Ovis aries: one gene and its partners. The protein of the gene in region 6 interacts with the protein of the main gene of each other region in a pairwise test. Links are inferred from orthologs where the notes say so. Each region holds a gene or a part of one and is shown on either strand. Other genes may lie near its edges.

What was found.
Region 1: the proteins of BYSL (region 6) and LTV1 interact in binary tests that used the Homo sapiens proteins (3 or more experiments, as listed by UniProt). The two-hybrid records come from large-scale screens. The link is inferred for Ovis aries from reciprocal best matches to the Homo sapiens genes BYSL and LTV1.
Region 2: the proteins of BYSL (region 6) and KRT40 interact in binary tests that used the Homo sapiens proteins (3 or more experiments, as listed by UniProt). The two-hybrid records come from large-scale screens. The link is inferred for Ovis aries from reciprocal best matches to the Homo sapiens genes BYSL and KRT40.
Region 3: the proteins of BYSL (region 6) and PDE4DIP interact in binary tests that used the Homo sapiens proteins (3 or more experiments, as listed by UniProt). The two-hybrid records come from large-scale screens. The link is inferred for Ovis aries from reciprocal best matches to the Homo sapiens genes BYSL and PDE4DIP.
Region 4: the proteins of BYSL (region 6) and MID1 interact in binary tests that used the Homo sapiens proteins (3 or more experiments, as listed by UniProt). The two-hybrid records come from large-scale screens. The link is inferred for Ovis aries from reciprocal best matches to the Homo sapiens genes BYSL and MID1.
Region 5: the proteins of BYSL (region 6) and LZTS2 interact in binary tests that used the Homo sapiens proteins (3 or more experiments, as listed by UniProt). The two-hybrid records come from large-scale screens. The link is inferred for Ovis aries from reciprocal best matches to the Homo sapiens genes BYSL and LZTS2.
Region 7: the proteins of BYSL (region 6) and PNMA2 interact in binary tests that used the Homo sapiens proteins (3 or more experiments, as listed by UniProt). The two-hybrid records come from large-scale screens. The link is inferred for Ovis aries from reciprocal best matches to the Homo sapiens genes BYSL and PNMA2.

Annotation. Positions count from the first base shown.
Region 1 is NC_056061.1:68,485,529-68,489,888, reverse strand, and holds the start of LTV1 (protein LTV1 homolog), read right to left. Parts: upstream 2,825-4,360; 5' UTR 2,662-2,824; coding exon 2,659-2,661; intron 1,684-2,658; coding exon 1,552-1,683; intron 688-1,551; coding exon 514-687; intron 1-513. UniProt on the Homo sapiens protein: Essential for ribosome biogenesis.
Region 2 is NC_056064.1:40,929,424-40,934,006, forward strand, and holds the start of KRT40 (keratin, type I cytoskeletal 40), read right to left. Parts: upstream 3,142-4,583; 5' UTR 3,140-3,141; coding exon 2,693-3,139; intron 1,858-2,692; coding exon 1,775-1,857; intron 355-1,774; coding exon 198-354; intron 1-197. UniProt on the Homo sapiens protein: May play a role in late hair differentiation.
Region 3 is NC_056054.1:97,759,381-97,763,821, reverse strand, and holds the start of PDE4DIP (myomegalin), read right to left. Parts: upstream 2,980-4,441; 5' UTR 2,586-2,979; coding exon 1,464-2,585; intron 1-1,463. UniProt on the Homo sapiens protein: Functions as an anchor sequestering components of the cAMP-dependent pathway to Golgi and/or centrosomes.
Region 4 is NC_056080.1:8,465,171-8,467,800, forward strand, and holds part of MID1 (E3 ubiquitin-protein ligase Midline-1), read right to left. Parts: intron 2,561-2,630; coding exon 2,212-2,560; 3' UTR 1-2,211. UniProt on the Homo sapiens protein: Has E3 ubiquitin ligase activity towards IGBP1, promoting its monoubiquitination, which results in deprotection of the catalytic subunit of protein phosphatase PP2A, and its subsequent degradation by polyubiquitination.
Region 5 is NC_056075.1:21,595,264-21,599,940, reverse strand, and holds the start of LZTS2 (leucine zipper putative tumor suppressor 2), read right to left. Parts: upstream 3,157-4,677; 5' UTR 3,057-3,156; exon of another isoform or gene 2,787-3,056; intron 2,564-2,786; exon of another isoform or gene 758-2,563; intron 383-757; exon of another isoform or gene 282-382; intron 194-281; exon of another isoform or gene 17-193; intron 1-16. UniProt on the Homo sapiens protein: Negative regulator of katanin-mediated microtubule severing and release from the centrosome. Required for central spindle formation and the completion of cytokinesis.
Region 6 is NC_056073.1:15,721,046-15,725,598, reverse strand, and holds the start of BYSL (bystin), read right to left. Parts: upstream 3,114-4,553; 5' UTR 2,955-3,113; intron 2,772-2,954; 5' UTR 2,768-2,771; coding exon 2,500-2,767; intron 1-2,499. Other genes in the region: MED20 (mediator of RNA polymerase II transcription subunit 20), read left to right, coding at 3,310-3,323. UniProt on the Homo sapiens protein: Required for processing of 20S pre-rRNA precursor and biogenesis of 40S ribosomal subunits. May be required for trophinin-dependent regulation of cell adhesion during implantation of human embryos.
Region 7 is NC_056055.1:39,169,826-39,174,511, forward strand, and holds the start of PNMA2 (paraneoplastic antigen Ma2), read left to right. Parts: upstream 1-1,672; 5' UTR 1,673-1,732; intron 1,733-4,686. Other genes in the region: DPYSL2 (dihydropyrimidinase-related protein 2), read right to left, coding at 902-1,255.

The DNA of each region.
Region 1 (4,360 bases), on a different chromosome or scaffold from region 6:
CTAACCGTTTTGACTTTTCTTAAGCAACAAGTAGGGACTGGAGGAGCTTATGATCACATCTTCCCCAAGGAAAAAGTCTAGACCATGGCAGGACTCGCGATGAGAAGTAGGGGAAATTGACGCTCTCTGTATCTCTCCTTTCTGTCTGTAAGCCCAATATATTCCTCTTTTTTTTTTTTTTAAGTGCCAAAAGTGATATAAAAGTTTCACAGGAAAATTTACTGTACACTCATACTAAACTAAAAAGAAGGACTTCCCTGGTAGTACAGTGGGTAAGAATCTGCCTGCCAATGCAGAGGACATGGGTTTGAGTCCAGGTCTGGAAGATCCCACCTGCCACGGGATCAGCTACGCCCATGCTTAGAGCCCATGAGCACCAACTATTGAGCGCAGATTCAGTTCTCTAGCTGACACCAATTCTTGCCTCAAACAGTTACCTTGATTTAAAAGTGATGGTTTACTCACTCACGGCCCTTCACACACACTCACACTCAAATTGCTAAAAAGTCTTACTGAAGTTACTAAAGGCTCTTCTCTCCTATCTCCCCTGTAAGGTGCACCGAAGGTACTTGTGGGAATGAGCTCCGAGGGGCCAGATGGTTCCTTCAGGTGCTGCAGGTAGTCATAGTCATCGTCAAAGAACACTCCATACTTCCTCTGCTCTGCTCGCCTTTCTTCATCTTTTATCTAGGGTAATAAACAAAACGGACATAGTAACTGTTCCAAGGATAAAACCCAGGAAACTTCCAATGAGCACAACTTTCAGAACAGGGGGCAGATGACCCATGAACACTCTAGCTGATAGGAATGAGACAAAGACTTCTTGACAAACTCAGGAAACACAGGATGCCACATAAAATTAAAATGGAATGAAAATAGTTCCTCCTTCCATTAGACACTTCTGTACAACAATTCAAGCCAAGAAACACACACACACTATTTTACCAGGTTATGTGGAGAATTAAAAGACTAGGGCGCACTGAAAGGTAAGTACAATTTCCTGAATTTATATGCAAAGAAACTTCTCAAGGCATAACACCAATTGGCTTTACAACAAAGCTGAATATGCCTGGGTTCCCCAATACTTCCTTCCACATTACCCACACTTAACAAGTATACTCTGACTGATAATTACCAAATCGACCTCTTAAAAGCTCCCTTGCATTTTCTAAAGCTAACTCATGAGTTTTATATTTCATGAGATGACCAGGAGGCAAAAATACAGTTTGTGGTTATGAAATGCCAATATCTCATGGAAAGCAAAGACTGAGCATATGGTTGTGCCCTAAATAACACCATAAAGCATTGTTGCTGATGGATTAGTAAATATCTTCCATTACTCTACAAGAGTGCTCACTTAAACATCTCCAATAAAAATATTCTCTCAACAAAATAAACATGCATGATGTAAAAATGAACATATTTACTGAGAATTAAATCACATATTTTGTTTCCCAGAAGATCAGTTATCTGAGAACAGCAGCTGACTAATATAATTAAAAACAATCAACAATCCACCTACAAACTTACTGGCTATAGAAGAGGACCTACCTTCTGTGTAGGCAACAGAACCCTCTGGGGTGCAGTCTCATCTGCTGCTAAAGGATCTCTTTGGCTCCTGTGGACCAGGTGAAAAGACACAGCTTTCTTCTTCTCTATAAAGGGTTTTTTCTTCCTATGAGGCTTCAAAGAAACAGAATCACAGTAATAAATCAGAACAACAACAAAAAACAGTGATTATACCCCCCACAGGCATCTTCAATAAGTTATGGGAAGGATCAACAGACTGTCAAAACTTGCACTTTCAGGGCAGGAAACATCAACTATGTTAAAAAAAAAAAAAAGAAAAAACTACCTTCCTTCAATAAACCTTTTTGGGGGAGGTACTCCGTGCCAAACCTAGTTACCAGTGCTGGGAATATGGCGATGGGAAAGTTAAAGTTCCTGTTCTCCACAGGCAAATCACCAAGAACCGGGTTTCAGGTGAAGGCAAGCAAAACGAGACACAGGAATGGGTAACGACTCATCAGTTACTTTAAAGTAGGGGCTCAGAGGAGGTCCCTGAGAGTCTGAACCAGAATGGGAGTCCACTACAGGAAAATCTGAGGAAGAGTTACAAGCAGGAGAAACACTTCCTGTACCAACTATTAAAACCATGACACAACAGCCGAAGTTGAAATACAGGATTCACCATCGTTCTACCTTCTCGTTTCACTGCTCAACCTCGAGTTTATAGACTGAAAGATCCTTCCAGCTGAGTAGGCCCAATCTTGGGAGCTCGTCTTCCCCAGAGTAGACAGACGAGCGGACACCTGCCACTGCAACGTCTGGAGACACGAGCAAGCCCCTCTCCGCCTGACGTCACGAAGCATGGGTGTCGCATCTGTGTGCTCTGTTATAGGTTCTTAGGCCTCTAGGAGGGTAAAGCGTAGGCCATCCTCTTCTGTCTACTCCACAGGCACGCTAGGCCGTAGAAGCCCCGCTCTAAACTGCAAACTATGCCCGCGGTGGTGAGGGTGACCCAAACCGGGACCATGGGCCCAAAGCCGCCTGCCTTTACCTTCGGACGTGTCATCCCAGTTCCAGGATGCAGAAGCCATTGGCTTAGGGGACCCAGCCTGGCCTCTGCCAAACCAGGGCGCCCCAACTCCTACTTACCATGCTTGCAGCCGCGCGGCGCTCACGCCAAACAGGGACGACAGCACTCTCCTAGTCGGACGGACGGTGACACGGTACCTCCCGAACGCCTCTGAGAATCAGCTCACCGCCCAGTCTTTAACTCCACTCCACACGTGCGGCTCCAGGAACCGGCTGGAAATCACTCAGCAGGCCGTGGAAACGGACCAATCGCCGAAAGGCTGAAGGATCACGACCGGAAACTACGCAAAGTTCACGCCGGCTCAAGGATCGCGAGAAGCTATTGGTGGGTGGGGCTGTTTCCACTCACGGGAGGGCGGGGCTCTTCTGTCCGCAAATAAATCAGCTGGGGAAGGGACTCGTGGACGCTTGTGTGAGATGAGGCGCGAGAGGGGGTCGCTGTTTATGGGCGAACTTGCTTTTATATCGCCCTCTGCTGAGAACAGAAGCCACGGATCTAGCATCCCCATTGACAGTTGTATTTCCTGACTATTCCTCGCCGTAAACAAGACAAACAGAGCACACAAATAAACTACACAAAAGAAAGGTGGCCCCTCTCCTGGGTCCCCGACATTTCAGGTTCCCTTTTTGGGTGGGACGCAAAGCAACGGAGGAGCCTCAGTTCAGTCCCTCAGCCGTGTACTCTTTGCGACCCCATGAACTGCAGCACACCAGGCTTCCCTGTCCATCACCAACTCCCAGAGCTTACTCAAACTCATGTCCATGGAGTCGGTGATGCCATCCAACCATCTCATTCTCTGTCATCCTTTTCTCCTCCTGCCTTCACTCATTCCCAGCATCAGGGTGTTTTCACATGAGTCAGTTCTTCACATCAGGTGGCCAAAGTATTGAAGTTTCAACTTCAGCATCAGTCCTTCCAGTGAATATTCAGGACGGATTTCCATTAGGATGGACTGGTTTGATCTCTTTGCAGTCCAAGAAACACTCAAGAGTCTTCACCAATACCACAGTTTAAAGCATCAGTTGTTTGGTGCTCAGCTTTCTTTATGGTCCAACTCACACATCCATACATGACTACTGGAAAAACCAAAGCTTTGGCTAGACTAGACAGCTTTGTCTGCAAAGTAATGTCTGCTTTTTAATATGCTGTCTAGGTTGGTCATAACTTTTCCTCCAAGGAGTAAGCATCTTTTAATTTCATGGCTGCAGTCACCATCTGCAGTGATTTTGGAGCCCAAAAATAAAGTCTGACACTGTTTCCCATCTATTTCCCATGAAATGATGGGACCAGATGCCATGATCTTCATTTTCTGAAATGTTGAGCTTTAAGCCAACTTTTTCACTCTCCTCTTTCACTTTCAAGAGGCTTTTAGCTCCTCTTCACTTTCTGCCATAAGGGTGGTGTCATCTGCATATCTGAGGTTATTGATATTTTCTACTGGCAATCTTGAGTCCAGCTTGTGCTTCATCCAGTCCAGCATTTCTCATGAAATGGGGCCTTGCTATTTCTAGGCAGCACTTAGGCTTAATCAGGTCTTTATTTTCCACTTAATGAACTGTGTTCAAACATCCAGTTAACAACCTTTCCCCCCAACTCTGTTGCCAGTCGAGGCATTCAGACTAATATATTCAGAATCTCTTTGGTGTTTGCATACCTTAGCTTAGGAGGTGGAAACTAATGTTTATTATTTTTCAAGCTATCCCTCAAACATTTGGTCATAGTTTGAGCAAAGGCTATAAGCATATCTACTTAGGGCTTCCC
Region 2 (4,583 bases), on a different chromosome or scaffold from region 6:
CACTGGCCAGTGGTCATTTCACGTTTACATTCAGAGATACACCAGAATGATCAGGCTGAATAGTAACAGTGCCTAGAGTGAGTTTTTTCCACATCAGTCAACATCTACTCAAGTTCTATGAATATACTCAACATGAGCTCTCCCAGCTTAACTTTGTCACTTTGAGGGTCCTTCAGTGATTTTGCCATTTTCCTTACCTCTTCATGGCTTTTCTTAAGGCAAAGGAGATCATCCTTCAGAGACTCTACATGGGCCTCCAGATCAGATCTGCATACAGTCAGCTCTCCCAGAATCCCATGCAGGCCACTAATGTCAGTCTCTACCAGCTGGCGAAGAGAGAGTTCAGATTCGTACCTTTTACAGCAAAAGAGATACAGCCAATGCTTACTCTGCTGGACACTGAGAAAAGTGCTGAGCCCTACAGCTGAGGGACACATGACATCAAGGAACCCACATGCCATAATTTCTTCTACATCCAAATCATGAAAAATTCAAGCTTTGTGAGCATTCTTAGCTTGAAAAAATATTATAAAGGGAATCCTTGTGATGTGTGCATGTAGGTATGTGAGAGAAGAAGCGGAAGAGCCTACCATATGTTAAGTTCGAATTCAGATCTGGTCTTACTCTAGCTTGTACTTGCTTCTAAGTCCACAATACAAGCAGCTCATACAGCTCAATATCAGAGAAACAAATAGTCCAGTCAAACAAAATGCGCAGACTTAAACAGACATTTTTCCAAATAAGACATACAAATGGCCAATAAACACATGAAAAGATACTCTACATCTCTCATTATTAGAAAAATGTAAGTCAAAACTACAATGAGGCATCACTTCACACCAATCAGAATGGCTATCATCGAAAAAATGATAAGCAATAAATGCTGGAGAGGATATGCAGAAAACGGAACCTATGGCACTGTTGGTGGGAATATAAATTGGTATGGCTGCTATGGAGAACAGTATGGAGATTCCTTAACAAACTAGGAATAAAGCCCCCATATGACCCAGCAATCCCACTACCAGGTATACACTCTGAGAAAACCACAGTTCAAAAAGACAGATGCACGCCAGTGTTCATGGCAGCACTATTTACTGCGACTAGGACATGGAAGCAACCTTGACTTCCATTGACAGATGAGTGGATAAAGATACATACATTGATACACACATACATAAAGATACATACATGTACATGCATGTATGTAAAGATACATACATACATTGAGATAATACGTACAAATGGAATATTACCCAACCATAAAAAGGAAAAAAATGAGTCAGTTGTAGTGAGATGGATAAACCAATAGCCTATTATACAGAGGGAATCATTAATAAGTCAGAAAGAGAAAAACAAATACTGTATATTAATGCATATATATATATGGAATCTAAAAAAATAGTACTGATGAACCTATTTACAGAGAGGAAATGGAGATGCAGATGTAGAGAATGGTCTGGTGGACACAGCAAGGGGAAGGAAAGGGTAGGACAAGCTGAGAAAGTGACTTTGACATATACGTACTATCATGGGGAAAATAAATAGCTCATGGGAAGCTGCTGTATAACACAGGGAGCCCAGCCTTGTGCTCTGCGGTGACCTAGAGGGGTGGAATTGAGGCAAGAGAGGCTCAAGATAAAGGGGATATATATATATATTATATATATTATATATATATATAATTATGATTGGTTCATGTTGACATATGGCAGAGACTACCACAAGATTGTAAAGCAATTTCTTGCAAGGAAAAAAAAGTTCAAATTAAACTTACTTTGACCTAAAGTCATCAGCAGCCAGTTTGCAGTTGTCAAGCTGTACAGCAAGTCTACAATTTTCTGCCTTCGTACACAAGATCTGGGAAGAAAGTTACTATGTCATGAATGGTTCTTTGAAAGAAACCCACATATCTACTCATTTAATAACTATGCCAGGGTTTATCTTTTAAAAGTCTTTATAAGAAAATATAGGCCTTCAGCCTGCTTTTACTGACCATATCATTTCATGAAGGAAAAAGGAGGGCCAATTTATAAACAAAATAGAGAAATAAAAAGGTTGTTGTTTTTTTTTTAATGACTTAAAAACATTTTTGCAGTATTCCTTGGCCACTGAACTTAGGTAGATTTCTCTCTAGGAGTTTATATTATGACTACATCTCCACCCATGATAATAAAAATTTATCAGTAAGAAAAAGACATAATTACCAGGTAAAATTATATGGTTAAAAGATGACATTTCCATATCTATGTTAAATAATGTACTTGTACAGTGTTACACGCAGAAATAATTTTAGATATCACACTGCTTTTCCTCAAGGTAAATTTAGGGATAAGCGGGTTTATTGTGGTCATTTAGTAATTAGCGGCAGCATACAGGCTAGCGCTGATGTTTACTGACTTTTTCCCCCTCTATTCTTTTGGGCCATGCCGCATGGCACGTGGGGTCTTAGTCCCCCACCAGGGATGGAACCTAAGCCCGCTGCAGTGGAAGCACAGTGTCTGAACCATTGGACCACCGGTCACCCTGTTTGCTGGCTTTTTGTCCAGTACCCTTGCCTCTACATCACATTCCCCCTGGGAAGCCCCTCCCCTTTCCCTGGTTTCCCTCCACAGAACAGACTCTTGTAGTAGTAGAAACATAAAGCACATCACAGAGTGGGAAGGTGGAACATTAGGGTGATGGGATACTAGACCTTTTGCTGGAGATCTTCAATGGTGTCGAAGTAACACTGATAATCAGGGCACACCAACGGGACATCCTCTTCACTCTGTTCCCGGATCCTGCATTCCAACTCAGCATTCAACTCCTCCAGCCCGCGCACCTTCTCCAGATAGCTGGCGAGCCTGTCATTCAGGAACTGCATCGTCTCCTTCTCGTTACTGTTGAATGCACCGTCCTCACACCAGGCACAGTTCCCCAGCACGCCCGGAATATTACAGCTCCCCGCAAAGCAGGACGGTGGGAGGCACCCAGTTGGCAGACGAGACCCGGATAGAAAGCTGGGGGTCTGGCAGCTGGATGTAGCACAGGCGCTGGGGAGACAAGTGGTTGCCGCGGAACAGGTTGAGGCAAGCGCACAATCAGAAGCCCTGGCACTGGATTCAGAAGAGCAGCCCGTGGGGGAACAGTCAGAAGCCATTCTATCAGAAGTGAAGGGCAAAGACTAGTTGCAAAACTCCAACTGCCCGCCTCCAAAACTCTCATTCCCTCCCGAGACTTTTATATATACCCCACTTCAAATGGGTATTTACAGACTACACAGGATGTTTTCCGGTGCATTTTTCATATGAACATTCATTAGTGTTGTTTATTTGCTGAAGAAGAGTTTTATGCTTCGTAAAAGAGCCATAACTTCAGGTTTCTAAATAAAGACACCATCTCCATGTGCCAATAGGATAAAGCACTTGTTTCAGAAAATCTTCACAGGAAGCATTGTCCTTTTGACAGAATAAGGAAAGAAAGAGAAAATTTGGGCAATCAGTAATTATAGATACAACTGATTACACATAAAGGAAATCATATCCCTACAGATTTTGATCCTGTGCATTGAAAACTGCTCGTCTTCTTTTGAAATTAATGTTACAACTCATTTAAATGCTATTTATTTGTTTGTGCCCCCACCATAAAAGTGTTCTGTGTGATTAGCCATCTTCAATGCTTTTTGTGGTCTTGCTGTGCTCACATGGTGGAGGACTGAGTGTATACTGAATTTGAAGTGTGTGTGTGAGAACCATACATGCCCATGTGCAAACTGAAAAGTCACTTTACATAACTGATGGGCATCACTTTTGCCCTACATGCCAAAATATAAATTGGTTATCAAAACGTGGAGTTGTAATCTTTGATTTCCTGAAACTTGCCTTCTCTACTTTTCCTATGCTTCACTTTTATATCAGAGATACTGATTTTTCATCTGTATCTCTAATAAGAATGAAATATGAATTCTGTTATAATTTTTTAGTCTCAGGAAGCTAAACCTTCGTTAACTACACTTCAGTATAGAAGGAAGAAAGTTACAAAAGGCATTTCTTCTGGGACATGGAAGCTGTTTTCTCAGATTTACTAATTTATTTAATTTTGAAGGCCTCAATTTCATGAAAATTAAATATGCTGGAACTTGGGAATAAAAGTCTTTTGTATGAGTTCCAGCAATTCCATTGGATGAACTCCCTGGGGCAGTACTGAATGGATAGGGATCTGAGATGTAAGTTTTCTGGGTTCTTTCTTAAGTTTTATCTCCAATTTTCAGTTTTCTTGCCTTTGATTGTGGTATTTATTTCATTTTAAAAAGTGTACAGAGAAAATTGTCTGCAGAATGTTAAAGATCTTTATGGGGTGGGTAGCCCATTACTCCGACAAAGTTAAAATTTTCATGATCCAGAATAAACAATTATTTTTTAACTCTGAGTACTTCTTCCTTAAATAGCTGATAATGGGAAAACAACCAACCAACCAAAACCAAACCTGGAGACTTAAGATAGAGGATTAAAATAGTCTCTTAGAATTTATTATTCATTGAGCAAAGTTGGTTTTGATTTTAGTAATTCTCCTTATATTTCAACACTATGCTAAGAGTTCTTAAT
Region 3 (4,441 bases), on a different chromosome or scaffold from region 6:
GAGTATTTTAAATTTAATAGGGAGGAAAAAAACTTTTGCTTTACTGCAGTTTTTTAAGTCTTCACCTTTCTTCAATATTGGCCATATTTGAAGGGGGCTATATTTCTACTATATTGGTCATATTTCCCATCCACTCTGTCCAACTACTTTTAGATCCTAATACAGAAACACTACGATGAATCTGTGACATCTATGTTGGCTCACAGAAATACTGTACTGGAAAGCTCAAATTTAGCTGTGAAGGTCAATGAAAGAAAAGGGAGCGAAAGGAAAGTACACAAGTGTTGGGCATCCTAAACATTTTATAGAAATGAAAACACAGTTTAAACTTTTGGATACTCATACTTTTCCCTAACAATGCTGTTTCTGACAAGTTAGTGCAAATTCAAAAATATTTCTCCCATATTCTTACTGTGATGCAAATTTTATACATAATAGAACTGTTTTTCAAAGCTGTCAAGTGACAATCAACAATTTCATTTAGAAGCTCTAAGATTCTGGGATGATGTTGACTGGTTAGCAAGCTTTCCAGAAACACCTTCTAGATTGTCCACCTCTGTAACGGTATCACTAAAGAATCTATATCAAGTAGAACATGCCAGATGTTTCACAACATTAACTGAAACTACTGCTGCTGTATAAACAAGACAGCATCTGTCAGGCCCCTGTACACAACTGAATTTAAAAGATTGGTATGAACAGCTCAAAGTAAGATCAACTGCCATCTTCCAGTCATTACGAAATTCACGAGTAAAACAGGTAAAACTCTATCACCCAATAATGGATGAAGTCCTGCTCAACACCAAACATCTTCACATAGAGCTCATTATACAAACTGGCTGTAGACACGTTTTGCCTTAACATTTTAAATTCTGAATTCCCAAGTCTCTTTTATGAAAAAGTCATCATTAGTCCTCAAATGACCTCTTAATTTATAAATGTTGTCCACATATTACAATATTTTGGTGGATTAATAGGTTCTCCTCAAACCTTTACCCTATGCTCTAATCAGTTCAAGGCACAGGTGGGGATGAATGGCTTAATGCTCTAGGGCGGACTAACTTGAGAACTCCCTCCCTCAGAGAAGAAAATATTCATAAATCTAAAAGTGAAAACAAAACAGACAAAAGTAGAGAGGCGGTAGGACAAGTGAGAGGAAAGAGTTCCAGTGCCAGAAATAAGATTAAAATTTTTTTAGGGTAAAAATGAATTATGAATCTTTGTCTTAAACATGTACAATTTTGATAATTAGTGGGAAAGCCAACAGATAATCTTATAAAGAGGCTATTGTGGAAAGCAAATTACTTGTGTGAATCACATTTATTAAAATGGACAGAAGCAAAAGGTAAAGCAAAAATGGGTTACCAAGTCTAGACTATTAACCTTCCCCTAGATAGAAATCATGTGAAGCCTGAAGCCAGCTAACTTTAATCAGAAAGGCAATATGCAGCCATTTTGTATACCTGGACCCGAAGTGGCAGATAATCTTCACAGAGATCATCCCACAGCTCCTGCAGGTCTGAAATCTCCAAGGGATAACTCACAGGTGTCCTGTAAAGGGGTTTCAAAGACCTGTTAAGGAAACCAGAACTAACTCCATCTGTCATGATATGGCCAGGCCTGGTTCCAGATGGATTGGATTTCACTGGAATAGGAAGCTTGCTCCCTCGGGGGCTCTGGATGGGCTTATAATCAAGACCTTTAATCATGCTAAGAGCTAGCTCCAGCTTATGGTTACACGTATGCTGGGGAGCCTGTTCATCTGAACAGCAGTCACACTTTACAAGTTCCTTTGCACTTCTCTCAGGTTCCTCATCCTTTGGTTGTGGAGGACTAGCCTGGATACTTGCATCCAAAGATTCCACAGAGGATCCCGGGGTCCCTTCCTCCATGCTTTCTCCATCTGGAGGTACCTTCGCATTTGGTAAATCTGGTGGCCCAACCTCGGACAACGCTGGTTCTTCAGTGCAAATGCTGGTGGACCATCTGGTAGAGGGGCCACAAGAAATACTTTTCGCCACCTTTCGAGGTACCTTACAAATGGCTTCGTAGTCAGAATCAGCCACCCGCAAAGCTGCACAGCCTCGGCACCTCCTGGGTCGATTTCCGGGGCCTTCCGAAGCATGACAGCTGTGCTCCTGAATCTGATCCTCATTTTCTACCCAACACTCGAACCCTGAATAGGCAAAGTCTTCCTGGAGCAGTGCAGAGTATCTGACATCGGGTAAGCTGGAAATGTCAACCGTTCCATTCCCCGCCTTGGTCTCTGAGCCAGGGTCATCGTTATTCTTCCGATACATGCTAGCAATGCAGAACTTGAGGCGGTCCTTCTCCAGCAGCAGCTTCTGCAAGCGCTCAATAGAAAGGGCTTCGATCCGGGCAATGACGGTGTCGAATCTATAGATCCGATCGAGCATGAACGCGCACTTGCTGCAAGCAAACTCAGCTTTGCCATCGCGGGAGACATCCTTGCCCAGGACGTGCGACAACAGAACCTGGAGGTTGAGCTTGGACGCCGTGTGGAAGATCCAGCGCCGCTGGTTTCCGCACAGCTCCCGGGCACAGATCCTGCAAATCTCCTTCATCTTCCCTCCTGCGGTGGCCGAGCTTCCCGGAGGCGGCTGCTGCTCGGTGATCGCTCACTGGCGCTTGGTTGCGTTCCGTCTCCCGCCTCGGTGGCCTCCGGCTGGCATGGCACAGCTTGGTGGGGTGCCCACTCTGCAGGGGCGCTCCGCTGACACCCGCGCGCGGGTTCTGGGTACCAGAGTGATCAGCCCCGCCCCTCGGGGAGGCGGCGGGCGAGGAAATGCCTCAGGAGGATGCTGAGTGACAGCAGCGCAGGCCGCGCTCAGAACCTGCCATGTCTCCTCCAGCTGTCTCTCCCGCCAGCCGCTGTGTCCTCAATGTCCTCCCTTTTCAGCGGGCTGAGTTCGCGGTCCTCCGGCTGCCGCCCGCGGCTGACGCAAAGACTCAGAGATTGAGGATCAGATTTCAAGATGGCGCCGGCGGCTCGACGCCTGCAGCCGCCGGCAAACTCCTCTGGGAGCTGTAGTCCAGGAGGCCGGCTCCTCGCTCTGCGCATGCGGGGTGGCCAGCGCGTCACCTCGCTCCCGAACAAGTCAATGCTCCTCGCGGTACAGCGCAGGCTCGACCTGCTGTGGTTACCCAGGTGGAAGAGCGGGACGGAGGCCGACCGCTGCCAGGCCACTTTTATCTGCTAAAATTTCACTCCAAAAGCGCACCAGTCCCCTTGCGGTTCCTCCCTCCCGCCCGGGAGGACTGTCCGAGGCTCTGCACGGGGAGGAGAAAGCCGAATCCCCTCCCCTTCTGTCCACGGGGACTGCCACGTACTCTGGAGGGAGCAGTCTCGCAGCACCACTGGGTACCGCTGCGCGCTGCCTCTCTCCGGCCCCACCTCCTCTCCCTTCTCACTCCTGTTCCTGGAGTAAAAGGCCCTAGGGCTTCACCCGCGGCCGGGGAGGCGGGAATTTTAGGAGGCTCAGTTCAACCTCCCTCTGGACTGTTGGGAGTACTCAGAAAAGAGGACAAGTGTTTCTTCCCTCACCATGCTGGGGTTGAGTTTACCAGGATGATTTGCCTTTTTTTTTAGAGCGTAAATTGAGAGGCGGCACAAAGCAGTCACCTGAGAAAGAGTCCAACAAAAACCACACGAATGGTTTACCAAGAGTTTGAAGATGCCGGACAAAATGAGCTTTTTCAAGAATGTAGACACCTGAGAGTAGACTGCCGCCAGCAAACCCTCTTTCAAGTTTCACTTAAAATAAGGCTGCAGGCCTTATTTTCGGGGAGGGAAGGGGAGACAAACTCTAGAACAAAAGACCTTGTTTATTTGAGCAAGACTCCAAAGTATCAGGGAGTGCTGCTCTCTGCAGAAGTGGGGCTGGGAATTTAACTGACTTCAGTTAGTATCCTGTCTTACTCAACATTATCCAGTAGTAAGTCACCCTACCCTTGGGTATAGACCTTGAATTGCACACAAAGAGTAGAGGGAAGCTGGGGCTCTCTCTAGGTGGAACTGAGGTGTCATCCTTCATTTATAATTTTCTCCCTGGCAAACTCCAAATAGGAGGAAAAACAGTCCCAGGCAATCATCTGGAGTTTTCCCAGAGCAGGACATTTCCCAGTTACAGTAATGCCAGATTTCACTAACTTGACCTTGTGAGATATGCAGATGACACCACCCTTATGGCAGAAAGTGAAGAGGAGCTAAAAAGCCTCTTGATGAAAGTGAAAGAGGAGAGCGAAAAAGTTGGCTTAAAGCTCAACATTCAGAAAATCCAGTCCCATCCGGTCCCATCACTTCATGGGAAATAGATGGGGAAACAGTGTCAGACTTTATTTTGGGGGGCTCCAATATCACTGCAGATGGTGACTGCAGCCATGAAATTAAAAGACGCTTACTCCTTGGAAGAAAAGTTAT
Region 4 (2,630 bases), on a different chromosome or scaffold from region 6:
CTGAAAAAGCATTATAATTCGTGGCAATATTGTCCTCATAAATGCTTTAGATTAACATCATAAGGCAAACTGGAGCATTTATTGTACCTGGAGACCATGATTTAAAAAATCTCAGAAGCTGAGTTTTAGACCCTTTTATTTAAAACCTGTTAGTGTACAAAGTGCATGAAAATATCCATTATTTAGCTACCAAAAAAGTTTGTAAAAATTATTAAGCCAACCCTTTTGGTTTATTCAGGGAAGCCTAATGAACATTGTTTTTCTATTGTAAAAAGAAAAAATTCCATTAAGTTGGCAGAGATTAATTTTTTTTCCATTGAGACATCCATCTTTTAGATGTGAAATTGTTCTAAGTCACTATCAAAATATTCATCTGGGTATAAATAATATAGTAAATATATAGAATCTATCTGTTAAGAAAAAGGAATGCATCTGCCAGTGTAGAGGCAGAAGCCCTGGGGAAGCTGCCCCTGAAACCCAGACTCACGATCACATAATGCGATGCTGAAACAATTGGTTGATTTGCTCAAAAACAAAACCAATAAAAACAGTGTCTAAATCCCCCAGTCTGTCAAAACGGCCACCCCAGCAGCCCAGATAAATATTTTAGCAAATGAAATGGTTGAGAGATGTCATGCCCTTCATCAAGGTAGAACCACTGCCAGATTCCTGGTTCGCGTCCAAGGATGGCTTAGTGTGAAAGTATCAGTCGTGACACCATGGACTGTAGCCCGCTAGGCTCCTCTGTCCATGGGATTCTCTAGGCGAGAATACTGGAATGGGTTGCCATTCCCTTCTCCAGGGAATCTTCCTGACCCAGGGATCGAACCTGGGTCTTCTGCACTGCAGATGGAGTCTTTACCACTGAGCCACCAGGGAAGGCAAAAAAGCCTTATGTCATGGACCACTCCAATGTCTTAGGTCAGCACACTGAGCATTGTATCTGACATGATATTAGCAGGTTCTACTAGCAGGTTCCAAAGTGAGAATAGAGAGTTTGATTTTTTTTTTTGTTTTTTGTTTGTTTGTTTGTTTTCTTACAACTCTATTTAACTATACTAGAATATAGAGGGACTTCTACATCTTTCGAGATGTGTTTAAAGGTCTGTTTATTATAACTTCTGAAGCACATATACTAGAGAAGAGTACTTTATGCAATGTCCCTTGTCATTACCAACTCATAAATACTAATGGTTTTTGGTTGGATGTGGTATTGGCGGTTGGGGCCATATGTTGATGTCCTAGAGAGCAAAACTGATCCAAAGCGGTGCTGCCATTTGTGACAGAAAACGTTTATTTCCTCAGCCCCAGTGACAAAAATTATTCAGGGGGAGTGGGACACAGGACAGCTAGTAAACATACTGGAGAAACTTCACAGGCCTAAAGAAATTAGTAAAAGGAAGAAGGAAATAGATTTCTATCGTGACACAGAATCCCACTTCCGAGAAAACACAAATCGGCCTGAATTTTTGAATCATCAGTAGGATTCAAGGTGAATTTTTTCAATTGCAATCTCATTGTTCATGTTCTCCCAGCATCATCCTACCAGCCATGGAAGGGTAATTACGGGTTTTGCATTAGCAGATCCCCGGCTCCCAAGTCAAGTCTTTCCCTCCTGTCTGTTGCTCTCTCCATGCTACTTGATCCATAAATCCTTCTGACATTGCAGAATGCTTCACAAGAAACCAGTCAGAAAGCCTGCTGACTTCCCTACTAGGTTCAAAACTATTTTTTTTTTTAGTTTGAAAATAGTGGCATATTGTTACACAGTGTTGGTGTGACAGGACCTGCCATGAGATCTGTAGGAAAGAGGATGTGAGAAGGTGGAGAAACACAAACTACAAAAGATCTTGTTTCTCAAGCTCAGAGACTTGTGCTGAAAATAAAGGTTGTCAAGAACTGATAAAACTTACGGGCCTCCTAATGTGCAAAACCAGAGAATTCCTAAGAGTTGTAATCCCCGGTTATGTTCCTATTATAAATAATCTATAAATTTTCCTGTAAATACAAAAACAGGGTGAAGAAATTATTAAAGCCTGTACTTAATACAAAACACAGTGAAAGGGGGGAATCACCCATTGGGAATCCTATCTTAGCTGATTTCTGGATGCTTGTTGTGAGATTTAACCACATTTTGGAAGTCTGTGCTTTCTCAGTCCCCAAAATGGTGGCCACCACCCTTTATATCCCCCAGAAACCAGCTCCACGTGCTCAGGGCAGCTGCTCTGTACAGTCTAGATGGTCAGGGATGGGAAGGCCTGTTATGATGGTCAGACATTTGTTCCACACAGTGAAGGTGGGGCACACGGGCTGCGAGAATGTGATGTCGAAAGTGTAGAGGTGGATGGAGTTCAAGGCATCATAGAAAGCGATGGAGCCATTATCGTAGTCTAGCAGAATGCCGACGCGCCGGAGGTGGGGGGCTGGCTCGATGGGAATCTCCTTGCTGTTGTGTCTTACCACCCAGGTATTGTGGCAGCGGCATAGCACCCAGGAAGCAGAGTTCTTGCCAATCCACTCGTGCTTTGGGGCTGACTTGTATGCAAGGCCAATGGCGTACCTGCAGACGCAAAAGAGCAATGACGAGAACCATGAGCCACACTGCACACATACATGAAATCCTTTCTGTG
Region 5 (4,677 bases), on a different chromosome or scaffold from region 6:
CGAGTTTCCCACAGACCTGTTTCGGGGGCAGAGGAGTTCGGGAAAGTCTCCCCCTCACCAAACTCCAGGACCATCCAGCGGGATCAAGTCTGAGATCACGAGTTTCCATTACAAGACAGGAAGCCGGGAGCCCCCAATCCGCCCTCCGGAGTTCACCCCCCTCCTTCCGCCTCTTCCAGAAAGTGGGGGCAGCTGTGGAATGCCGCCTCCCCACGGGACCTCCGCCGCGCAGAAGTTGGGGGCGCCCCCAGGTCGCCTCCCAGCCCCGGCCCCCCCCTCACCTCCACCGCGCCGCTCCATGCTCAGCCCCGGGCCGCCCCCAGCGCTCCACAGGCGCGCCGCGCGGCTCCAGCCTGCCGCGCGCCGCCACTCGGAGCGGCCCGGTCCGACCCGGCCCCGCCTCCGCGGCGCCCCCAGCCCGGCCTGGCCCCCGCCCGGCCCAAGTGGGCGGTGCAGCGCGGGGGAGGGTCCGAGGGGTGACCCCGCCCCCGGGGCGCGGACACGCGCAGGCACCCGGCGTCACGCGTGTCCGGCGGGGCGCACGCTGGAGCTACGCAGCAGGACTCAGATTCCCTCCCTCCGAGGAGCGATGGCTGTGTGTCTGGGGCTCGGTCGGTTCAGGACTAGGCGGTGGCGGGTCACCCTTTACCCTTACTTGGGCCCCGGGGCCAGCGGCAGCTGGTCATTGTTCGAGCACAAAGGGCCAGGCGCCGCGGCAGCCGCCCTTCCCCCTCCGCTCCTCTAGTCGATGCCTCACCCCTAGGCACACTCTCCGGCTTCAGAGTCCAGAGAAGGAGGTTGGGGGTCACCTAACCCCCAAGTCTTGGCCCTGCGTCCTGGCACAAGTCGGGGGCCGACGCTTGGTGGGTGCCTGCCCCACCCCCAGCCGCTTGCAGAAGGCACGCTAGGATTTGCGGAGGCGGCGCCACCTGGCGGCCCGTTCGGAGAACACAGCCACCCCCAAACTTGGGGGGCCCCTACCCTTCTCCCCAGTGCTGTACTCCCTCTCGGGAGAGCCCCGGCCTTCCTCGAGCGCGGTTCTTTGCTCCCCAACCTTCCCTCAGACTCATTTGCTAAGAGGTAAATGCTCAAGAGAGAGACGTCCCCTGGGCCCCCAAAAGTCACCCCAGTGGGGGAGCTGGTCCAAACCTACAGGCCAAGCTTACGCCAGCCTCACAGCAGACAACGTTCCACTGTCTTCTCAGGGTCAAGAATACTCTCACCCTCTGGCAAACAACACAATCTAAACACCCACACGACCTTTCCCACACTCAGTCTCAGACACAATCACTCAGTCTGTCTGGTCCATCAGAAGGATCCATGTCCCTTCTTGCCATAATCAGGCCAACTCAGAGATACACACTTGGTATCACGGCTAGTTGTGCACAAGCTTTCACAGCTCAAGTTCCTTTGCACCCAGTCACAGTCTTGACTATACTTGCCTCCCAAGCTTTTTTCACACTATGACAGTCTTTTTCACAGTCACAAAGACAACTTTTTAAACATACACGTCGTATTTCACAAACATTTTATCACACAGACTTTCCCATAGGGGTTTCTGTGACCTAACCAGGTCAGCTGATGCCCGCATCCCTGGGCAAGGACAGCCTCCTGCCCCCTAACCCCGCCCCCCAGAACTAAGGCCTGCCAGAGCTCCTCTGCCCCAGGAAGGAGCATTCCCCCCGCCCCGCCCCCCCCTTCCAGGCCGCAGCCTGGCCGGCTCTCAGTTCTATTTTTAGCTCCATGGAAAGAGTTGTTTTCTTTCTTTTTCCCTGGAAAGGGAAACATAGCCCAGCCACCCTCAGGCTCACCCTAGACCCTCTTGCCTCACAAGTACAGACTGAGCCCCACCCCCATAGAGACCCCCTCTTCTGGCCTTGCCCTGATCCCAGCCTCCTGGGGCACCAGGAGCCTCCTCCCCTTTCTGGCAGCCTGCCCAGAAGCTCAGGCAGCAGCTGGGCTCAGCGTGTGTGGAGGGGTAGGGAGGGTGGTGGAGAGGGAGGCCGAGGGCCGCTGCCCACTCTCATTCGCTGGGGGGAGGGGGCCGTGCTCCCTTCTACCAGAGGGAGACGGGCCCACTCTGGTATAGAGAGGATGTGTACGGTCATGCATTCTCTGGGGAAGGGGGACTCCTACTCTTGCGTGAGTGGGCTTTCTGCTCCTACTTTGAGGGGAGGAGCTCCCAGTGCCGCAAGGAGGAGTGTAGTAAGAAAGGGGACCCACAGGCGTTCGCGCAGATGCTCCCCGGGGCTGGAGGTCCCGGCGGAGGCTGCTGTACACTGCCAGAATTGCCCCCCTCTCGGGTATCTTCAGGAATGGGGGCAACATGTTCCGGAGAAGGAAGGTGAGGAGCCCAGGTAACCAACCCTCTCAGTCCAACAGTCTGTTGTCCTCCTTCGCTACCCCAACTCCGGGGGGCGTTGTGCTCCCATTCCTGGGGAAGGGCTTATCCCCTCCAAGGGGAGAATGGAATACAGCCCGGCAATGTATCTTTCAAACTCGCTTAGTACTGCGGAGGGAGGTTCCCGCCGCGAGGCTCCCCCCGTACAGCCCACGGGTCTGCGAAGCGATCACGTGCTCAACGCCTGTTTACGTCTTAGTCTTCACCTGCGGGCAGCAAGGAAGCCGGAACCTCCGGAGGCGTCCCACCTGGCCCGCCCCCGTCCGCGGTCACTGGGAGGCCCTTTTCTCCCACCCTCACCAAGTACGCGACGGCAGCACACCCTGCCCGCTGGGGGTCCGCGCGGGCCAGCGGCGCTGATCCGCCAACAGCAAGCGAAACTCACTAGGCGCGTCCGCCCCGCAGTGCACGTGTATTCAGGTGTCTCCAGTACGCGCGTGGGTCTGTGTGCACGCGTGTGTGCGCCCGTCGGTGTGAGTTTTCGTGTAGGTTCCCTGTTCAGACTCTTCGCCCGCGGCCCCTGGACTGAGGACCCGTCTCTTCACCCCAATCCCCGGCTTCCCGGGATCGGGAAATTTCACTCCGGGGCGGGGGTGTGCAGGAGGCGAGAGTTCCTACACCGCCGCGGCGCCCCCACTCACTCACCCAGCGCTACCTTAACCGCCGTTCCAGCTCCCGCTGGGCTCCTGACCCAGGGCCGGCACCTCCTGGTCGCAGATCCGCCGGCTCCCCAGCGCGCTCGGCCCGGGCTTGGTGGAGGGGGCGGGGCGGCTGAGGCCGCGCCCCCGACCAAGGCAGGGGAGTGGTCTGCCCAGCACCCCCTCAGCAGCAGATCTGGTACCCTGCCAAGCAGTGTTGCGACGGTGGCCCAAGACTGCCCCTCGGACTTCTGACTTCGCAGCTTCTGGAACTGGCTTTCGATCTAGGAAGGGGCCAGCGGCGCCACAGCTAAGCTAAGCTACCTGGCTGCCCTAACCAAGTTGGCTATAGGGCTTTACTGCCACTATCCTCTGGTCTGTAGGGAGCCCAGCCTGGTCCACTCTCAGCCCACTCCCCAGACACAGGGAAAACCCCTGGGAAGCAGACGAAGAAGGCTCGGATTTCACCGAAACAGACCCCACCCTTCCTCACACACCTCTGAGGTTGGGGCTGCTCAAGCAGAACCAACACCTCCCCCTCCCCTGGAGTAGGTGTCTGCCCGGTGAGCAGGCTTGCCAGTTTTGCCCCCCGCCCCCCACCAGAGTGTAGTCAGGCTTCTCTTAGACTTATAAAGTTCCACCCACAGGCACAAACAGGAAGTTGACCTGTATTGCACCAAAGGGTCCCTCCCTCCATGGCACCCAAGGCAGCCTGTGGGAGGGCAGACCGTGATGTCTACAGGTATTTGGGTCATATCTGCAGCCTGAGTACTTGGGCAGCAGGAGCCCTTTGAGTTGAGTCTCTTCTGAGACCCATCCCCAGTGAAGGGATGGAGGACCAAAGCTGCCCCCTTACAGGCAAGGGGGTTAGAGAATCTGAGGACAAGCCTGCAGATCCAGCTGGATTCTACTGGGCCAGGCTCTCCCTCAGCTCTCAGGAAGATTCCAGTTGGGCACAGGCCGAGTACTGGTTCTAGCCCAGGCAGTTTGCCTCAATCCTCTTAGGTGGGGTATAGAAACAGTGACTCCTAGGGACCTTACATAGGACCCAGGGATTAACTGCTACTTTTTGGGCTCCAGGGGCTCTTGAAATACTTTGGGCTAATTTTCACGTGAGGGGTTTAAGACAGGTGTGTAATGGAATGTGTGTGTGTGTGTAGGGGTGGGGCTGGGGGATCATTAGCTTCCCCTCCTCCCTACCATTCTGGTTTGCTGTGTAGGCTGTCTGCTAGAAGGGTGGGGCAAGACAGGCAAGTGTGTATCTATCCCTCTATCCCCAATTCATAGACCTCATAAAAGTCTCCTTTTGGAAATCCCTGAAAGATTTCCTGAGCACAGAAGACCAGAATGTGGAACCCACATCCTTACAGGTAGGACTGACCTGGTAGTGTGCATCTGGAAGGCATGGCTGACGTTTAACGTTATAGACCCTGGATGAGGCCTAGACCAGCCAGCGGCTGGGAATGATTACTGCAGGATTAGGAGGACTGGCTCCAGCCAGTCTGGGAGAGACCCCCAAGAAGGGAGGCCCTGGAGGAGGTCCCCCTTCCCTCCCCCTAGAGAACAGCTTTGTTCCAGGGTCTGTTTCAGGAAACAATTGTAGTCACAGTTCTCACACACAACAGACCAGAGACCCCA
Region 6 (4,553 bases):
ACAAATGCCATGACAAAGAAATACAGCAGAGTAGAGAAGTTGTGATGTGGAGACAGGGGTGATGTGTTGCAGTTTTTAATGGGGTGGTCAGGATAGGCCTCTCTGAGCAGGTGAGGAATTAAGGGAGGAAACCAACAGGAGTACGAGGACAGAAGGACCTGCCAGGGTGAAGGCCCTGACTCGCCATGTTTAAGGAGCAATGAAGCCTATATGGATGGACTTGAGTTGATGACACCATCCAACCATCTCATCCTCTCTCGTCCCCTTCTCCTCCTGCATTCAATCTTTCCCAGCATCAGTCTTTTCCAATGAGTCAGCTCTTCGCATCAGGTGGCCAAAGTACTGGAGCTTCAGCTTCAGCACCAGTCCTTCCAGTGAATATTCAGGACTGATCTCTTTTAGAACTAGCTGGTTTGACCCGGATGGAGAGAAGAGGGCAAAGGGAAAGGAGCAGGAGAGGTCAGACTGACAACAGGTACAGATCATATAGGTCTCTGTAGATCAGGCAATCCTGAGTTGCTGAGTGGAGAGTAGACTGTGGCAGATACGGGATTCTCGGTAAGAGGCTACTGCAGTCACCCAGGTGAGAGATCACTGTGGTTTGAACAGGATGGTGTTCCAAGATGGTGCCAACTGATCTGATTCTGGATATATTTTTAAGGCAGAGTCAACAGGACTTCCTAATTGATTGGATATGGAGCGAGAAAGAGACAAGTCTAGAGTTTTCTGCCTGGAGCAAATGGAAGGACATCATGTCATTAATTGAGATGAAGCAGACTGGGAGTGGAGCAGGTTTGGCAAGATGGTCAGGATTTCTGTTCTGGACATGCTAAATCTGAGATGTTTCTTAGACTTCAAATTGGAGAAGCTAAAGAGAGAGCTGAAATATAAGACTTTGGGTTTCATGGAAGAGATCGAGGCTGGAATATGAACTTGGAAGCAGTTACCAAACAGACAGTATTTAAACCTCAACCCTGATGACAGCACCAGGGAAGTCATCAGAGGTGAAGAGACTAGCTCCAAGGATGTAATGCTGTGGCACTACAGGAAGAGGCTGGCAACAAACGAGAAGTCAGCAAAGGGAGCTCCCTGGTGGCCTAGTGTAAGGATTCTGGGCTTTCACTGCTGGGGCTCAGGGTTCAACCCCTGGTAGGGGAACTGAGATCCCACCAGCAGGCGTCGGAAGCGGGAGAATAGGAGCCAGCAAAGGATACTGAGAGGTGTGTGCGTGTACTCAGTCGTGTCTGACTCTTTGTGACCCTGTGGACTTTTCCTGACTATAGCCTGTCAGGCTCCCCTGTCCATGGGATTCTCCAGGTAAGAATACTGGAGTGGGTTGCCATTTCCTTCTCCAGGGGATCTTCCTGGCTCAGGGATTGAACCAACATCTCTTGCATTGGCAGGTGGGTTCCACCACCTGGGAAGCCCACTGAGGTGAAAAACTAGCAAAACAGGGATGTGATGTCTTAGAAGCGGAGTAAAGATACTGTAGCAAGGAGGCTAGTGTTTGTGAACGCTGCTGCTGCTAAGTCGCTTCAGTCGTGTCTGACTCTGTGCGACCCCACAGACGGCAGCCCACCAGGCTCCCCCACCCCTGGGATTCTCCAGGCAAAAACACTGGACTGGGTTGCCATTTGCTTGTCCAATGCATGAAAGTGAAAAGTGAAAGTGAAGTCGCTCAGCCGTGTCCGACTCTTAGAGACCCCATGGACTGCAGCCCACCAGGCTCCTCCGTCCATGGGATTTTCCAGGCAAGAGTACTGGAGTGGGCTGTCATTGCCTTCTCCGTTTGTGAATGCTGCTCACAGACAAATGAAAGATGAGTGTTGAGAAATGGATTAAGCAACTTGGAGGTCAACACTCTCAGAGTAATAACGAGAAAAATGACCATCTTTTAAATAATCTCGCTCCCTTTCTAGTCCTGAAACAATATTGTTCTTTGTGCTCAGAGCACTCCCTACTTTTCAGTTCTCAGCACAACGGTCATGCAACCTGGGAAACCTGACTCCCAAGACTAATGCTATTGTCAGAGAAGCTATACTTTATCACGAGTGCATTATTCTAATTGCTTACTTAATTCTTTCTCTCGGGCTACACTGGAAGATCCTGACGTTAGGTATACCTTTACCCTGTTTACAGTTTTTTATCTAAACCATCTAAACTCCTAGCACGGCGGGATGTGCGTAGTAGACATTCCATGATTACTTACAAAACACGTAAATAAATGCCAGGAGAACTTAGCGGCGTGAGTAACCACTTCCTGCTGGCCTAACCTCGGTGATGCCTATAAGAGTGCCACTCTAAGGAATGGGCGTGGAGGGCTCCGGCAACCCTCAATCTGCCCCAGAGCTGGGTCTCCCAACCCCATTACCTTTGCCAAGGGCCTCAGTTTTTTGTTGTTGTTGTTTTTTAATTCCAAGTTATTCCCCTGCCAGACACCTTTCAGCCGTCCGCCCCAGCTACCCACCCTCCTCCTCGTACCCCATCCCCCCCACTCACCCAGCCGCGTGGTGCGCTCCCGCGGCACCGCGGGCCTGTCCCCGCTCCCATGCTCGGCCTCGAGCTCCTCTTGCTGCTGCCGCGCTTGCTGCAAAATCCGTCGGGTCAGCCGGGGCCCCACGTACTCTTCCTCCTCGTCTCCGGTTCCGCGACCCCGCCGTTTTTCTCGGGCTCCTGCCCGCACCGCGTCACCAGCCAGGATCTGCTCGGCCAGCGGCGCATGCTTCTCCTGACCCCCGGCCGAGCGGGCCGCCTTGAACTTGGGCATTTTTCTAGAAAACCAAGCCGTGAAGTTTCCCACGTGGGTATGGAGGAAAAAAAGGCCCCGAGTGCGCTTGCGCGGTAAACACCCAGCGCCCGAGAGCCCACCGGAGCTCACAGCGCCCCCTCGCGTCTGGAGGCCGGGTGTGCCAGAAGCCCCGTCCCACCCCCCCCCCCCCCCAAAAAGAGCTCACGGGTCCTGGAGCTGGGTCCTCCCGAATTTAACGTTGTCTTCTCTAAGTGGTTGTAGTCCGAGATACACTTTCCTAGTTTCATGGATCTGGGTCCAGGGTGCCCAGGCGAATGGGAATTCCCTGACCGGCGAACCAGGGGATCGGGGGCGGGGCGGAGTCGGGCAGTGACCTCACCGAAGGACCCAGACACGCCCTTCCTCGTGGGCGTGTCGACTGGACGCTGTGTTTTTACGTAAGTTCCGGAGCGCCTGCCTCCATTGGAGCTCGCTTTAGCGAGGTGGTTTCTCCTCTTGTGGGCTGCTGGAGCACAGCGCATTTCACTTGTTTGATCCTCCCATCTTCCTGGCACGACACCATGGGAGTGACTTGGTAGGACTTCAGAGGACTTTGTGGGGCGGGGTTTGGGGACTTGAAGGCCCCTGGAGCCTCGAATATACCCGGGAGGAGGATCCCGACCAGGGTCCACAGTCCCCCGGAAGATGAGCAAAATGTCCTCGGATTGTGTAAGTGAGGGGGCCACCGCGAGGGCTGCAGAATCTGCAGGCCCCTTTCCTCGGAGATTCGCCCCTTCTTCCTGGAAGGCGGCAGGAAAAAGGGTTTAAGAACCCGTTAATGATCGTGTACCTCCTTCCTTTTTTCTTGATACAATTTCTTGACCGTGAAGCCTGGGGTAGAACTTTAGGGTTGAAAGTAGTATGTCGGGACTCGGACCCGTCTGCAGGCAGGGCTTGGATGGGTAGGGGATAGGCAACAAGGAGATAGTATCTTTTTTAGGTTTTTGCCTGCCCCTCCTTACAGCCACTAAATGCAGTTAGATCAGCATGTGTCTGGTTCTAGTTTGGCCTTTGTAAGATCTTGAGTCTGGAGGGAAAAAAGGAGCTGTTGGGAATTAGGAGATAGGAATTACAGGCACATCACCTCTTCAGGGTCTGTTTCCTATTCTGTTTAATTACCTGGTTGGTTTAGTTTTTATGGACTTATTTTAACACGTTATAAGTCAGTGTGGCAGGGAAAGGTATGGGCTTAATTCTCTTCGAGTCATTTAGTTCCAAAATGCTAGATTTCAGAGCTTTAAAATATATATATCTTGAGCATCTCTCCCAGAGAGGGCTTAGAGGCCAGGTTATCTGAAGGCAATGGCTCTAGGCTTCTCATGTAAGAGCCTGTGGGAATTCCTGGTAGCCCAGGTCTTGCAGATTTGTCAGTGACTGCACATTTGCTTCCTGAAGCTGGCATCATGAGCCTCCTTCAAAGTCCTGTAGTGTAAGAAGGGTGCGAAGAATGGGAATGAAAAGTTTGCTAGGGTCTTTCATGACAGTCCAGTGGTTAACATTCCACGCTTCCACTGCAGGAGGCACCTTCTACTTCAAGGGGCATGGGTTCAATCCCTGATTGGGGAATTAGATCCTGTATGCCTTGTGGCGCAACCAAAAAAAAAAAAAAGCATGCTGCAAAGAGGCGTGAAACCCTGGAAGTACCTGTTCTCTCAGGGCAGAAGGCAAGCAGGGAAAGGGCTCTCTCTTGGGATGCTTCGCAACTTTTTCAGGCTTCTAGGACTTCTGACCCCAGTAGCATCACCTTAGGGATTCTCTTATATTT
Region 7 (4,686 bases), on a different chromosome or scaffold from region 6:
TAACACAGTATGGGGTGGGGAGCGTCTAATTCATCGATGACAATCTATTCAAAATGTGAGGGCTTTTCTCTTTTCTTTTACCCTTTGACTATAATCCACTTAGTCCTCATCCCCAAAGCCCTCCCAAATAGTGGCGGGGTGTGGGGGGAGCGCTCTGAGACGCCCTTGCTCAGATACTTAGCAGAACTCTGTTCTCCACATGGGCTATTTAGGAGAGTCGCTGTCTCCTCGCGTGACTCCACTGCCTCCTGGGTTCTTCTCTCGCTGCGAACAGGAGTCAGGGTGATGAGATAGTCTCCCCTGCGGTCCGGGGAGGCGCTGGCCATGGTCCTGACCTCAAGCTCGGGACTTGAGCGCCGAGGGCGCCCAGGAGAGGCGCTGGGAGAGTGCGCAGGGCGCGGCGGGGAGCGGCCGTCGAGGCCCCCGCCCTTCCCGACCCCGGGGGAGCCCGCTGGCCTCCGCGCGAACCCTCCACTGCATGCTCGGAGCTGCATCAAAAAGGGTGGGGCATCCAGCCACGGCTGCAATCGGAAGCCACCCGGGAGGATTGAAGAAGAATGGAAACCCGGCCCGTCCCCTCCCCCTCCAACTATGCTACCCCCTCCCCAGTAGGGGATAGGCCCATCCTTTACCCCCCATCCTCCACCTCCCAGGCCCAGGGAGGCGCGGGCAGCCTTTGTGGACGCACGGCCGCCCACCACCGAGCCCGAGCACAGAGAGGGGTCGGGCAGGGTGGGGTGTGTGTGCACCTGCAAGAAGCGATATTCGAGGCGGGGCAGGACTGTGGGTTACGCTGGGATCCTCGGTTCTCCGCCGAGCTGGAAGGGGGCGAGGGAGGGGCGATCCCCACGCCCTATTCTCGGTCTCCAACACCGCTCCCCCGACCACCACCCATACCAACCTGGTCGTTGATGTTCTGCAGAGCTTCCTTGCCCGAGGCCCGCCGAATCTCCACCTTCCTGCTCGATTCAACAGATGGCTCCCCGCCGGCGCGCCGGCCCTGCCGGGAGTAGGGCGTCTGCGGGTCGGGGCCCAAGTGTGCGACGTCCCGCTGCTGGGCCACCACCTGCCCCGAGCCCCGGCCCACCGTCAACGAGTCGAAGTCGATGGTCTTGTTCTCCGAGGACCCCTCCACCGGGCAGAACATGCCACAGAATTTCTGCCGAGGCTTGGGGCTGCCTGAGCCCAGGTTTTTAAAAAAGGCAGGGACCTCTTCGTCCTCTGCCGCCTTCCCGGATTGCTTCCTCTCAGCCATGGTGTGGGGGCTCGGGGAGGGTCCTTGCCGTTCGTCCGTCCGTCTGCCAGTCCCTACGTCTGCCTGTCTCTAGGCACAAACCCCTTGCCCCGGCTGCAGCCGCGGCTGCCGCTCTCTGCCTACCGCAAGGTGTACAAAAAGGAAGGAGGGCTGGCGAGCGAGCGACCCACCCCTCACGGTCCCTCCCCCTGACCCCGCTTTCTTCCCTCCCTGCCCACGCCCCCCGCCAGCTCCCGCGAGCAGCAAAGTTGGGTCTGGGCGGGTGGCCGCTGCGGCAGCGAGAGCGGAGAGGCTGCCAGTTCCCGGCAGCTGCGGGAGGAGCGAGGCGCGGGCGGGGCGGAGGCGGGGCGCGGCGCGCCGGGGAGGGGAGCGAGGAGCCGGGGAGGCCAGGGAGGGCCTCGCTCCGGAAGTGAAGCTGCCAGACCACCGGCTAATGGATGCGCAGCGGAGGGCCCGCTGACCGCTCTGGGCGCCACGGTGAGTACCCGGCAGGGCACGCGGGGACAAAGATCGTAGGGCGCAGTCCCTGGTCCCCGCGCCCCTCTCCCGGACCTGCCCGGCCCAGGCGCCTCTTCCTCACCGCATTGCGGAGGTGGGCCCACGACGAGTGCCCACCGTGGGGAGGGCTCCCTCCCCCTGCCCCGGGTGTGAGCTGATGGGTGGGGAAAGTGGCACACGCTGGCGGGCGCCAGGACACCCATGGTGGAGGGGCGGGGGAGAGGAGGGGCGGCACTGGGGTTGGAGAAGAGATGGCGCAGGCCGCGCGGAAGAGAGGGGACCGTGAGAGGCGCGAGGACACTAGAGCTTCGGTCTAACCACCGGCCGTGGTGGAACACTGGGAGCAGAAATTGAAACGTGATTCTCACTTACTGCTCCCACAGTGGTGGTGGTGGGGCGCATCGTGGCAGGGAGAGATACAGAGGGCGTAGCAAATACGAAGTGGGTGGGTGTAGAGACAGGAAATAGATCTACAGTCTGTGCAAGTGTAGCAAGGCGAGGAGTTGGCAGGTACAGCCCAGCGCGGCAACTTAAGGGTATAGTGAGAGGGGATGCGGGTGCGCGGTATTGGCCGAGGGCGACGTGTACCGTCGCTGCGCCACTGCGCCAAGAGGGGTCCGGCAGAAGGTCTTCATTTGATATCTTCCGCCCCTCCCTCCCGCCAAAGGGGGAAAGATACACATGGAAGCCCACCCCGCCAAATCTCCAGCCCTACTGGCGCCCCGCCTCATTCCACAGCCCCTGTAGCGCACTGCGCCAGAGCCGCGGGGTTTCCTAGGCTGCCAGAAGCCGCGTGCCTGGGCGCTAGTGCGCGCGCGTCCAGTGCAGGATCAGCATGTGGGGCGCGGCTGTGATGGTTGCCTTGAATTGTGTGAGGCCAAGCAGCGGAAAGGTGTATGGGGACGTGGTGTGTATGCACGGGTAGATCAGCCTCAGCCATGGGATTAGTGGGCATCCAGGGGGCATTTTGATGTAACGCCAGTACATCAGGCCAGTAACACGGCCTCCCAGGACCGTTCATTGCTTACTGCTATTCCCCGTGTCTTTTCCACGTCTCAGTCCCTACCCAGGGTTGATTACAGCCCCGCCCCTCTCTCCACAGTGGCAAAACCCTGCAGAAATGATGCCCATCCTTTGGCAGCTCGAGAAGGAGCTCTGGGCATGCTCAGTGATCAGGGCGGGTTTAGACTGGGAAACTGTTAACCACAGGAGCGTCGTGCCCGGCTGAGCAACCAAAGATTCGGTCCCATTGTCAGCCCTTGCCCTTGGAAGGACTAAATGCGGATACCCAACCCTCCTCCACAATTGCCAGGGAAAGGTGAATGGAGTTAAACTTAGAGGACAACCAATCCCAGCTGGAAGATAAGCCCACCATGATAGGATGAGAAGGAAGGACAGAGGAACATACCTGTGCAGGGGATGAGAGAAGCAGAGGCGGGGCGTTTGGACCTGGCACCAGATGTGCTTTGCATCTGAATAAAGTGCCTCCACACGAATTAAATTTCCTACTCCTAGCAGACCCCTGGGATGAGTGCTTCCTTATCACCACTTTCCAGGGTAGGAAACAGAGTTAGATGCTTTGCCCAAGGTGACTATATAAATGATCCAACAAATCCAGTGGGGTCTTCCACCTGAAAGTCTAGTTCCTTTTCCACTTTATCCTATCTTTATGTGAGATTTTCACATTTTTCCCCCTATCCAAATATTTCCAATCTTGGTCTTATCCTGAAGCACCCAGGTGGCTCAGACCGTAAAGAATCAGCCTGCAATGCAAGAGACCCAGGTTCCATCCCTGGGTGGGGAAGATCCCCTGGAGAAGGAAATGGCAACCCATTCCAGTATTCTTGCCTCAGAAATCCCATGGACAGAGGAGCCTGGAGGGCTATAATCCATGAAGTCACAAAGAGTGGGACATGACTAGTGACTAACACTTTCACTGGCCTTATGGTGTACCAGGGGCATTTCATTTGCCGTCTTTCTATCTGGAAGGCTGCACTGAAGGTTGAGATAGCCTTTGGAGGAAGAAGCCACTCAAAGATAGCCTAACTTGAGTGGGACAGTTATGTAAGAACTTAAGAGGTGTTTCTTCCTGTGTATGCAATGTCTTTTGACATCTCTTGTTTCCTCTAAATATTATAACCGGGAAGGTCACCCCCATATCTTAGAAGAGGGTCATGAGGCATGAGGGAGGAGTCAATGTACTCAGATCCCTGGGGCTGCTGGGCAAGGACTCTCCAGCATTTTGCCCTCCCTGCCCTCTGGCACACGCACCTCCTTTCAGCACCTTCCAGAACTCAGGAAATGTGCCTGCAGCAGGAGCAGCTCCCCCGCTTTAGCTGCAAGTTGGTATCTGTGGCATATGGACCCCATTTGGACTGATGGAGAATTTTAGGGCAAGAATGATCGTAGCCACTTAATACTCCATGACAACTCGAGATAGAAGCTCTTCCCTTTTAAAATCAGCCAGTCTCCACCGCTTCTTCACAGATGTGCCTCCTGTCTTTTTCTTTGCTTTTCAAATGACCCATTCAATTTCAGATACTAGGAAGAAAGCATTGTGTTACTAACTTAACATTTATAGCAAAAGAAAACCCCTAGTTGTGCATTTGCAAAGCATAACCAGGCATAACCAAAGAGAATTAATTTATAACTTCAAGTTTATTTGGCTCTGAGTTTTTTGTAGATTGTAAAACCTATATTAAGTTGTATCTATGTTATTATGTTAAAGCATATTATAAAGCATATTTAGCAAGTTATATTGCTAAACCCGTATTAAGTTGATTTTAAATGTTTGAATGATTCTAATTGAATTTTTAATCAAAGGAATGAAGTAACTCAATATTGTGAAGGATTTGAGGGGGGGTATTTTTTTTTTGGCTGCATGGCAATGCTTGTGAGCCTGGCAGTGAAAGCACCAAGTCTCAACCACTGGA